Schizosaccharomyces pombe: one gene and its partner. Changing the gene in region 1 together with any one later gene gives a genetic interaction. Each region holds a gene or a part of one and is shown on either strand. Other genes may lie near its edges.

Region 1 (4,663 bases):
CAAAGCTTTTGAAAGCAACTCAATTGCTTTGGCACACTGGTCAGGTGATAAGCTTGATGATATCGACATTTGCATGCTTGTCACAATTTCAGACATAGAAAAAGATCGTTTAGTTGGCCAAGTGGAAAGCTGAACAAAAATGAGATCAATAATGCGGACAAATGAGACCTTTTCTTTTGCTAGAGTATGAACAACTAGGTTGTTTTTAAATTCTTCAGCTTTTTTTGCTTCCATTGCTTTTTGCTTTTTACGCACGCGATCGAACAGAGAAGATTGTCTCAAAGTTAACTGAGATGATGTTAGCTTACGCGATGAATTTTGAACAGATGAAGAACTTTGATGGGATTTCAAATTGATTTTTGAATTCACTGACTTTGACAAAGTGGACGAACTGTCAAGCATGCTACACGAGACTAACTCATTAGCATATTTTGCCGTGTTAGTAGTGAATTTTGGTTCTAGAGTTTGTGTGGGAATACGTAACTCGCGACTTGTTGATTTCTCCAAATTGAGCTTTCGAACTAGTGAACTTTCATTAACAGTATTCTTGGATAGACTGGGTAAAGCTTGTAACTGTTGAGCAGGAATCTCAGTTTCAGAACAATGCTCTAACAACCATTTTTCTAGTCTCCGTTTAAATTCAATGGAGCGGGAGAAGGCTTCAGGAAGATTCGCATTGCGAGGGTATGACAGTTCATATGTTGCAACACGCTTTCCTTGATGAATAGTAAAACATGGGGTAATAGCAAATGACTCTGGCCATACGGTTAAAATCTGAGCGAGATGAGTTATTTTTAAGGAGATTTTGGTGAGACCAGAGACTTTATTTTCTAACAGCACAAAGGTTGGTTTGGTATTGATGGAGAGGTGAAATTTTACACATATGTCGACTGCATTAAAGACCTTTTCTAAGAAAAGAACTGATTCATTTTTAACTGGGGGTAAAACCTCATTTTGTTCTAAAGACTCAGTGTCCAAGTTCTCTTTCAGCCTTTTAACAGCTGGTATTATTTGAGAATCCTCAGGATTTTTGGGTGGCTCAATAATGGCCGCATTCGACCTTTTTGATGAGGATCGAGTTTTACGGACAGAGAAGTTCAATTTTGTTTGCGATCCAGCGCTCATGATTTGAACACAAAATCCAAAAATAAGGATATTGTTGTCGTGACTATATAGGGCGCGACATTTCATTTATATCGAGGGTTATATTAAATTTGAGCGTGTCGCGTTTGTTGACGCGTCGCGTAGCTATCGTGTCGCGCTTGCTAACTAGTTCACATTTGTCCGACTAATCAGTTTATGTCTTACTTAGCCTATATGATTCAGTAGATTATATTGAATAAATAAGTTCCAACACTTGTACAAAATTCACAAAACAATTTTTTAACTACAGCTTTTCATTTTCCGAAGTTTTTATAGAATCTCTTATACGAGTTTAAAATTATTACAGGATGCATCGTTATATAAATTTTGAATAACTCCTTTGCTCTGCGAGATATTATTGAGTTGTTCGTTGTCGAAATTTTCAATAATATGTTACATGTCACAATGATTTCTGTATAATAAAGGTGTTGCACCAAGTTCAGGCTCTCTGAAAACAAACTTGTGTCAAATAGCCACTCGTCCACTTATGGTCTTCCATAAGTTGTACGAATTCAAAACTTTTAGTTAACTTTTTTACTATCAGTGGATAAGTTGCTATAATAAATGAATAAAAAGATGCCCTGTATGATTTCTATCGACTAAGTCTTTTCTATTTATACTGGGTAGAGTAACAATGTGACTCAAATATCTATAAGGACCGATTGAAATCAACCAAGTACAAATAGAAAAACGATTCTAAAATTACTGAGTATAAAAAACGAATTTCTCATCAAGGACCCTATTTTCTTTTTTCTTTGCTCAAGAAGTTATTAAGCTCTATTTTCGAAGGTTTTCACTCACTCGACAAGCTACATTGTGAGTTGGTACGACCGTGTTCCTCCATTTTTGTAAAGAATCGATGTCAAGCCAGGCGGATTGAAGAAACCTTGAAATGAAAAGAGGAAAATGTAAGGAAAAAGATAATGGTTTGAAGAGAATTTCTTCGGAATCGGAAGTTTGGAACTTTTTAGACGTGACAGTTTCAGAGTTAAACAAGCAAAAGCGCTCGCCAGGACAGACCGTGTCTAAACGACTGCATAAAAAGCAAAGGGTCGTTAGTAATCCTGATTTGAGTTTACCGTCTTCACCGGTAAAACAAATTTTAAGAAATGGACTTCAGAATTCAAAGTACGGTTCTCATAAGACAGGACTGGAAAGGTCCGCGAGCTGTAGTAGTATTGATGCTTCCGCAAACCATTCTTCCACTACCTATCGGGAACAAAGATCGTATTTGATGGAGGAAGGATTAGATACTCAGCCAATTGTACCCCGTGAAGTATCCTCTGGTCGAGAATTGGATTCAACCAACCATACTATTGGTACAGAACGTGCTTTTTTGATAGAGGAAGACGTATCAGAAGATGATGAAATTCAAATGAAAAGTATACATGAACTTCGCTTTGCTGGAGAGCAGCAAAGGATCGTTGATGAAATTGAATACTTAGTGGACGGAGTGACTTTCTCAGGTAACTCTTCTGCTTCTCGCTATTTGAGTTTAATAGGAATCGCTGAAAAAATGTTTGACAATTCATTTCGTTTATGCTTAAAGTCGATACGGGATGTCTTCTTGCGAATATTTGAAGAAATTGATCCTAAAGATACTTTACACACTTTTTTGCAGATTTATATATTTGCAACTATGGCTAATGAAATGGATTGCATGAGTTCCTTGCTTGATGCTTACTCAAACAATGTTAAACTTCTTTTGCAAACGGCTATTACTTTAGAACCGCAGGTACCGGTTTCAATTTTGGCAAAAAGCTTACCAAAAAGTGTAAAGGGAGCCGTTCAAGAATTCGTTATAAAGGCAGAGCTTACTTTTAGTTTTAGCAATGAGTCTCTTGCTTCTTCTGATTCTATCAGTCTTGCAGCTATCGCTCTTATGAAGACGTCCTCGGGAGTTTTTGCGGAAAGCGAGTTGTTTACCGAATTAATCAATCTTTTAATAGAAAAATCCTACCCCATCTTGAAGGAAAACGATGGAAGCAATAACTTCTTACTTCATGCACTTTGTAGTTCTTTAGAAAAATTTACGGATTTCCAGGGATCAGAAAAGATTCAGAAGGTTTCACAGATCTTATCCTCAAAGTTACAAATTTTAATTGATGAACACAATGAAACAAATTCACCAAAAATTGACGATACAGTTGTCCATGCATGCAGTGAAAAATTGTTGCGTACTTTGATTCAAACAGTTAATTCTAACAGTGATCATGCGTTAGCGGTTTCTAAATCAGAAGTCCCATTGTTTGCTTATAAAATTTTACAAAAGTTTTCTAATTTTTCGTCCGATGATGAAACTACACGAGAACTAATTATCTTAATCCTTGGTCTTTTACTAGGGCTAGTTGAGGAATCTCATGAGTTTATTCAAACTATCACTCATGTTGAAGGTAAGTTCCTTTTATTAATATTTTTACTAATTCTATTTAGTTTCTTTCGGAGCTTCAGCACTCGATGTCCTCATTTCGTTTTATCAAAAGAACGTAAGTTGTACTACTTCTGTTGTAAGACATTTCTAACAAATGTAGGAAAGTATCGTAGAAATTAGTGGATATGTCGTAATGATTTTAAGCCATTGCTTTTTAAATGATCCCAAAGCGTTTGCCCAACTCAAGCCTTTGATATCTCAGTTTTACGAATCTCTACATAAATTTAAAAATTTTCATTTGAAATTGAAAGAGGAATTAATGATGATGGGTTCTAATGGACTAGCCATTGTTTCTATAATTGATGAACTACATAAATCGTTGCAAGACTACTTGCGCAGTGACTTGGTAAAATGACCTTTGCGGCGCGCTGGGAACGTGACATCCACAACATCGTTGCTTTCACTCACTTTTTTTTACGATCACTCTATAGTTAATAATTTGCCTTTTTAAATATTATAATCTTGAAATTTTCTAATTTAAACAATGGCTCCTATTAAATCTCGTAGAATTGCTGTTCTTGGCAGTCGTTCTGTTGGAAAGTCCAGGTAAGCGTTTGATTGAAGTTTATGCGCAAATAGGTTTACTAACCATTTTTTTTAAATAGTTTAACGGTGCAATATGTTGAAAACCATTTCGTTGAATCGTATTATCCAACTATTGAAAATACATTCAGCAAGAACATCAAGTATAAGGGTCAAGAATTTGCTACTGAAATTATCGATACGGCTGGTCAAGATGAATACAGTATCTTAAATTCTAAGCATTCCATTGGAATCCATGGCTATGTACTCGTTTACAGCATTACTAGCAAATCTTCTTTTGAGATGGTTAAAATAGTTCGTGACAAGATATTGAATCACACTGTATGTCAAATTATTAGAATTTTTAAATTTTTTACTAACCTACTTGCTATTAAGGGTACTGAGTGGGTCCCCATTGTGGTTGTTGGCAATAAGAGCGACTTGCATATGCAGCGTGCTGTTACCGCTGAAGAGGGAAAAGCATTGGCCAATGAATGGAAATGTGCATGGACAGAAGCTTCAGCTCGCCATAACGAAAATGTTGCTCGAGCATTCGAGCTAATTATC
Region 2 (5,384 bases), 420 kb from region 1:
AAAAGGAAGCAAATAAACTCATCATCTCTGTCGGTTTCATCTTCGATGTCTATAGAGTTTTCTGGTGATACTGCCTTGTTCAGAGACCTGATTGATTTCTTTATGTCAGCTTTTGTGTTTTCAATTATTTCCGATGATAAATTTGGAGACGGTGTTTTAGTATCGTCAGCTACCAAATGATTTACACTCACTAACTCCTGTTTTGCTAAATTGATGGATTTGAGAACGGCCGATGATTGAGATACCGAAGTTTGTACATTGGATTCCAACGACAAAAAAGGATCTATTGGAAAATCGTGTTTCTCTTCTTGCTCCGCATCAAAAGATGAACTATCAAAATACTTATCCGAGGAAGACTCCAAAAATACAGAATCGTCGTTTTCATCCTCAGTTACCAAAGTATTTTTAGAATCTTCACTTTCATCTATAGTTTCGCCTTTTTCGGCATTCAGTTGAAGCTCGTGAAGGCAAATTCTTAAATTTGTTAATTCCAATGTCAGTTTGTTCTTCTCATCGTTAAGTGAAACGGTCAAAGACTCTACTTCTGTCAATTTTTTCATTAATCCTTGTAGTCTTTGTTCAAGCAAATCCCTTTGTCCTTGCACCTTAGTCTTCTCTTTCATAAGTGTTTTCATGTTTGAAGAAAGTAGATCAAGTTGCTTGATTAAATGGGCATTATCCACTGACAACTTTTTATGCAAATCTTCTTTCTCTGACAGTTGCAGCCTTAAATACCGCAACTGTTGCAGAAGGTTTAAGCCAATGTTAGTAGCATATTGTAGATTGGTTTCAGTAACTGAATATTGATCTACTTGAGAAGACTCACTGAAGCAATTTGTGTTCTTCCTTCTTTCAATTGCAATGTCTTGACGTTGAATAGTAAGCATCTCCGTAATTCTCACCTCCTCCTCCGCTAAATTTTTTTCCAAGTCGCGTAATTTATATCGATTATCAAATTTGTTATTAAAATATGTTTTATTTTCCTTTTGAACCACTTGGTCTTTAATTTCTTGTTCGATTTTTCGTGTTTCACAAAGAATGCTTTCCTCTAACGCTTTCGCATAAGCAAGCTTTATTTTTGCACTTTCATTTCTATTTTTTAAATCAATTGAATATAATTCCACCTCGTTATCTTGTTTTTTCTCCATGAAGGATCAGTATATGTTTTGGTAAGCTCAACTCTCTTTGTCTTTTATATATCGATAAACTCGTAAGCATGCATATCGCAACAGTCATCGTCTTGAATACATAATTTTTATTTCTGGAATTATATCAATTCAATTCGTGTTCTCATTTGGCAAATTTCTCGTATTACGCTTTAACAATAAAACTTAGTAAAAGCAAAAAAACTGTATTTATATTGATGCATTTGCTAGAGTACTTGAATATCTAGCGAAGCTTTAGCAGCTTTCAATATATATATCGGTATAAATACCATTAGTTTGTACTTAAAAATTAACTATTACTTTACAAATGTACCCTGAGCCTCATGATTGACTTGCAAAAAATTGATTTGACGAGGCTACACATGTGTTTAGACAATAATTAACTTTATTTATATTCATATTTAGTTTATTTACTATTTCGAAAAGATTTAAATGCTAATTGTAGACAGTATAAAACGTTTAAAACACAACTCGATATAAGGATTGATTACAGCATATACACCGAGCGGTGAAGTACTCATCGTTAAAATGCATAACGTCCGTTAATGATATTGTTGTAAACAGATACCGAATTACAATGAAAAATAGTGACTGAAAGCACCACGATCACGTATATAATAGTTATTTGACTCTATAAAGAACATAATTCTGCCATAACACTTCAAAATTATGCACGTGAAATATACATAGTACACTGCTTAACAAATCTATTTGTTATATTTTAGGCAAACCAAATAATTAAGTAAAGCGGCATTGCCATTTAATGAGAAATACATTTATTAATAATTACAATCTTGGTGCAATCTACGGTATTGCATTCATTCACCACCACGTTTGAATTTCGTCTTCACTTTTGAAAATTTGGTGACGAACGCCAACGTCGTAAATTCGAAGCTGACGTCTACCCTTAATCCGCCGTAGAAATGGATTCTACGAAGGAAGAGGAAGATTTAAATAATAATATTGATGAAATTTCAGATGGAGAAAATGAAGAAGAGGAATTAGACGAAGCAATTGCAGCTGCATTGCAGAAGATCGAAGTGCCATCGATTCCCAGACGTGTAAAAGTGTACGAAATGGAAGATGAAAACTGGGTAGACTGTGGCACCGGTTATTGCGATGGAAAAATAGAGGGACCGTTGGCTTATTTCATTGTGCGTTCAGAAGCTGATAATGAAACCATCCTTTTGAAAACACAATTGATTGCGGAAGATATATACAGCCGTCAAGAAGAAACTCTCATAGTCTGGCAAGAATTGAATGGTACTGATCTTGCTTTAAGCTTTCAAGAATCTAGCGGTTGTATAGACATGTGGATGTTTTTAGCAAATGTTCAAAAGGCAATATCATCGGTAACTAGAAGTTACTCCAACGATGATATATTGACGGATGAGGGGGCGCTTAATGAAAACTACCTAAACACGGTCGATCTTCCAGCCCCAGAGCTTGCTAATTTAAAAGAAATTGAAGAAGCAGTATATGGATATATGCAGTCTATTCAATCAAGAGATAGTTTGGTTCGTTATGTTTCAAATGAAAATTATATTGATAGACTTATTGAACTTTTTCCTCTGTGTGAGGATCTAGAGAATACAGATGACCTTCATCGATTGTGTTCCATAATAAAAAGCTTTGGTATGTTAATCTACTTTATACTTTTTAGATTCGTTAAATCCTTGCTAATCGCTGTCAGTGCAATTGAACGACGCCCCTTTACTCGAATCGTTGTTCTCTAATGATGAAAAGCTAATGTGTGTAGCTGGTATTCTCGAATACGATCCGGAATTCCCCAATATCAAAGCGAACCATCGGGAATATTTAATGGATTCCAAAAAGTTTAAGCAGGTGGTTCCCATTCAGGATCCACGGATTCTTGCAAAAATTCACCAGACATTTAAGCTTCAGTATCTAAGGGATGTTGTCGTTTCAAGGATTGTTGACGAACCCTCCTTTTCGGTGCTAAATTCATTTATCTTCTTTAACCAGGCTGATATTATTCAATACCTTCAAACAAATGAAAAATTTTTACATGAACTGTTTAGCATTTATGTGAATGAAGGCGAGGATGATCAACGCAAGCAAGACGGTATATTCTTTATTCAGCAGGTTTGCAACATCGCTAAAGGGCTACAATTCCAGTCCTGCTCTGCATTATTTGCTACTTTCGTTAAATTTAATCTTCTGAAAGCTTTGGATTATGCAATGTCACATGAGAACAATTCCGTTCGAAATGCTGGTTCCGATATTTTGGTGTCTATTATTGATCATGAACCTGCCATCGTTTGGCAAAAGTTTGATCAAGATCGCAAGGACGCTTCTTCTTCATTGAGCAATGCTCACGTTTCCCAACATTCGTTGCTTTCCAATTTAATTAACATTTTGCATAAAGAATCAAATCCTGGAGTACTTGCTCAAATTTCTGAAGCTTTTAAAATGCTACTAAGTTTACCTGGTAGCTATGCATACAATAATCCTTACAGAAATGCTGATGGAAATGTTCGAAATAAAACCGATAACATTATTGGAATTAATTTTATTGAAAATTTTTATGATAACTCTTTTAATATGCTTGCTGCTCCTTTATTGGAGCTGGAAAATGTATCGAGTTTAGATGTTAAAAAGCTTGATATGTATATGCATTTGTGTGAGCTTTTTTGTTATTTTTTTCGTATACACGATTATTGGTCTCGTCGTTTTGATACATATAAAACCCTTACATCAAAAGTGGCTCTATTACTATACAGCGATAGAAAATATGTTGTTTTGAGCGCCCTTAGATTTATTCGCTCTTGTTTGGCCGCTCGTCAGTCAGAAATGTCCTTGATCATGTTAGAAACTGACACATACGGAAAAGTTCTGGACTTGATGTTAAAGGTCAAAGACCAAACTAATTTAGTCAACTCAGCTGCTTTAGAGTTTTTTGAATTTTTAAGATCCGAGGGATCTGAAGATACACTGGATTATCTCAATAAAAACTATCGACCACAGCTGGAATCTTTAAATAATCTCAGTACTTTTTCTGAGCTTTTAAATATAATAGATGGCTTAAGCTCTGACTCAAGAAGCCCTAAAACTGTTGGGACTCATGAATCAAATAGTTATGAATTTGACGGTGCCTCCAATAATAACCAACGTGTTGGAGACGACGTATCCAAAGATTGGGAAATACAGCAAGATTTTTCTATTGAAAACGATACTGAATTATCAGAAAAAGTTGGACAACGTACTGTTCTTGATTCTATAGCCCCTGCTGAGCTAAATATTGAAGACAGTTGCGAGCAGCCAAAGCAACCTATATTAGAGGATCGTTATTTCCTTGAGTCTGCAGTTTATGATACCTCTGCAGAATCTTCAGGTATTAATGTTTCAAACACCCGTTATTCTAAAAGGAAATCGGATTTCCAAGTTGATGATCAGCAAGCTGATGATGAATCACCAAAAAAGAGACTCTCTATCGATTCAAGTTCTGCCCAGAATGGCTACGCTTCCTAGAAGATGAACATAAAAAGGGAAGCTCCAAAAACTCTAGAAGATTGTAATGCAAGTGAATCATCATATGGACATCGTATTTTTGTTCCCGGGTTTATCATTGTTTTGAAAACTCATCTGTATAATATAAACGATTTGGGTTGTTCATTAAGGGACTTTTAAAATAATAAATACCAATTTTCATGTTACTATCGTGGTCTTGTAGTCTCGGGATAATTGTTTACTTAACGCTGACGAATAATTGTACTTAGTAGGCTTAAAAATTAAAAAAAAGTATTTTATATTAAAACGGCAATTTATAACTCTTGAAAAACAGAGGGATTTATATAATAAACAAAAAGAGTGTGAAGTCATTACAAACTTGAACCCAACTCTATCTAAAACTATTTCTTTAAAAACAACGACGTACCAAACAAGGCAAAAACCAAATAGCTATCAGTGATTGCCAAGACAATCATAATCAACCAATTCATAAATCAAAAATAATTTAATTTTAATGAACTGATTCTGCAAACTTAGGATGACATTTCGCTAAGGATATAAGGGATAATTACTAGCGAAGCTTGTAAGAAAATCAATAAGGATTCGATGATACGGACGGGCATAAGCAAAGCAGGACCAGACAAGACATATTGGTAAATACCATAGAGACAGACGGCATAGAAGTGGCCGATAAGATGAGAAGGGCTATGGTCTAAACCGCCTAATAAACGAATGGGACCTTCAACA

The links.
Region 2: of wpl1 (region 1) and psy2, changing one suppresses a phenotype caused by changing the other (phenotypic suppression), as found in Schizosaccharomyces pombe (one study listed by BioGRID).

Annotation. Positions count from the first base shown.
Region 1 is NC_003423.3:473,893-478,555, reverse strand, and holds wpl1 (WAPL family protein), read left to right. Parts: upstream 1-1,827; 5' UTR 1,828-2,035; coding exon 2,036-3,536; intron 3,537-3,545; exon of another isoform or gene 3,546-3,576; coding exon 3,577-3,629; exon of another isoform or gene 3,630-3,674; coding exon 3,675-3,929; 3' UTR 3,930-3,982; downstream 3,983-4,663. Other genes in the region: DNA replication licensing factor Cdt1, read right to left, coding at 1-1,125; Rheb GTPase Rhb1, read left to right, coding at 4,059-4,120, 4,180-4,438, 4,493-4,663. UniProt on the Schizosaccharomyces pombe protein: Regulator of sister chromatid cohesion in mitosis which negatively regulates cohesin association with chromatin.
Region 2 is NC_003423.3:893,839-899,222, reverse strand, and holds psy2 (serine/threonine protein phosphatase PP4 regulatory subunit 3 Psy2), read left to right. Parts: upstream 1-1,808; 5' UTR 1,809-2,089; coding exon 2,090-2,801; intron 2,802-2,859; coding exon 2,860-4,658; 3' UTR 4,659-4,851; downstream 4,852-5,384. Other genes in the region: dynein-anchoring factor Num1, read right to left, coding at 1-1,148; squalene monooxygenase Erg1, read right to left, coding at 5,171-5,384.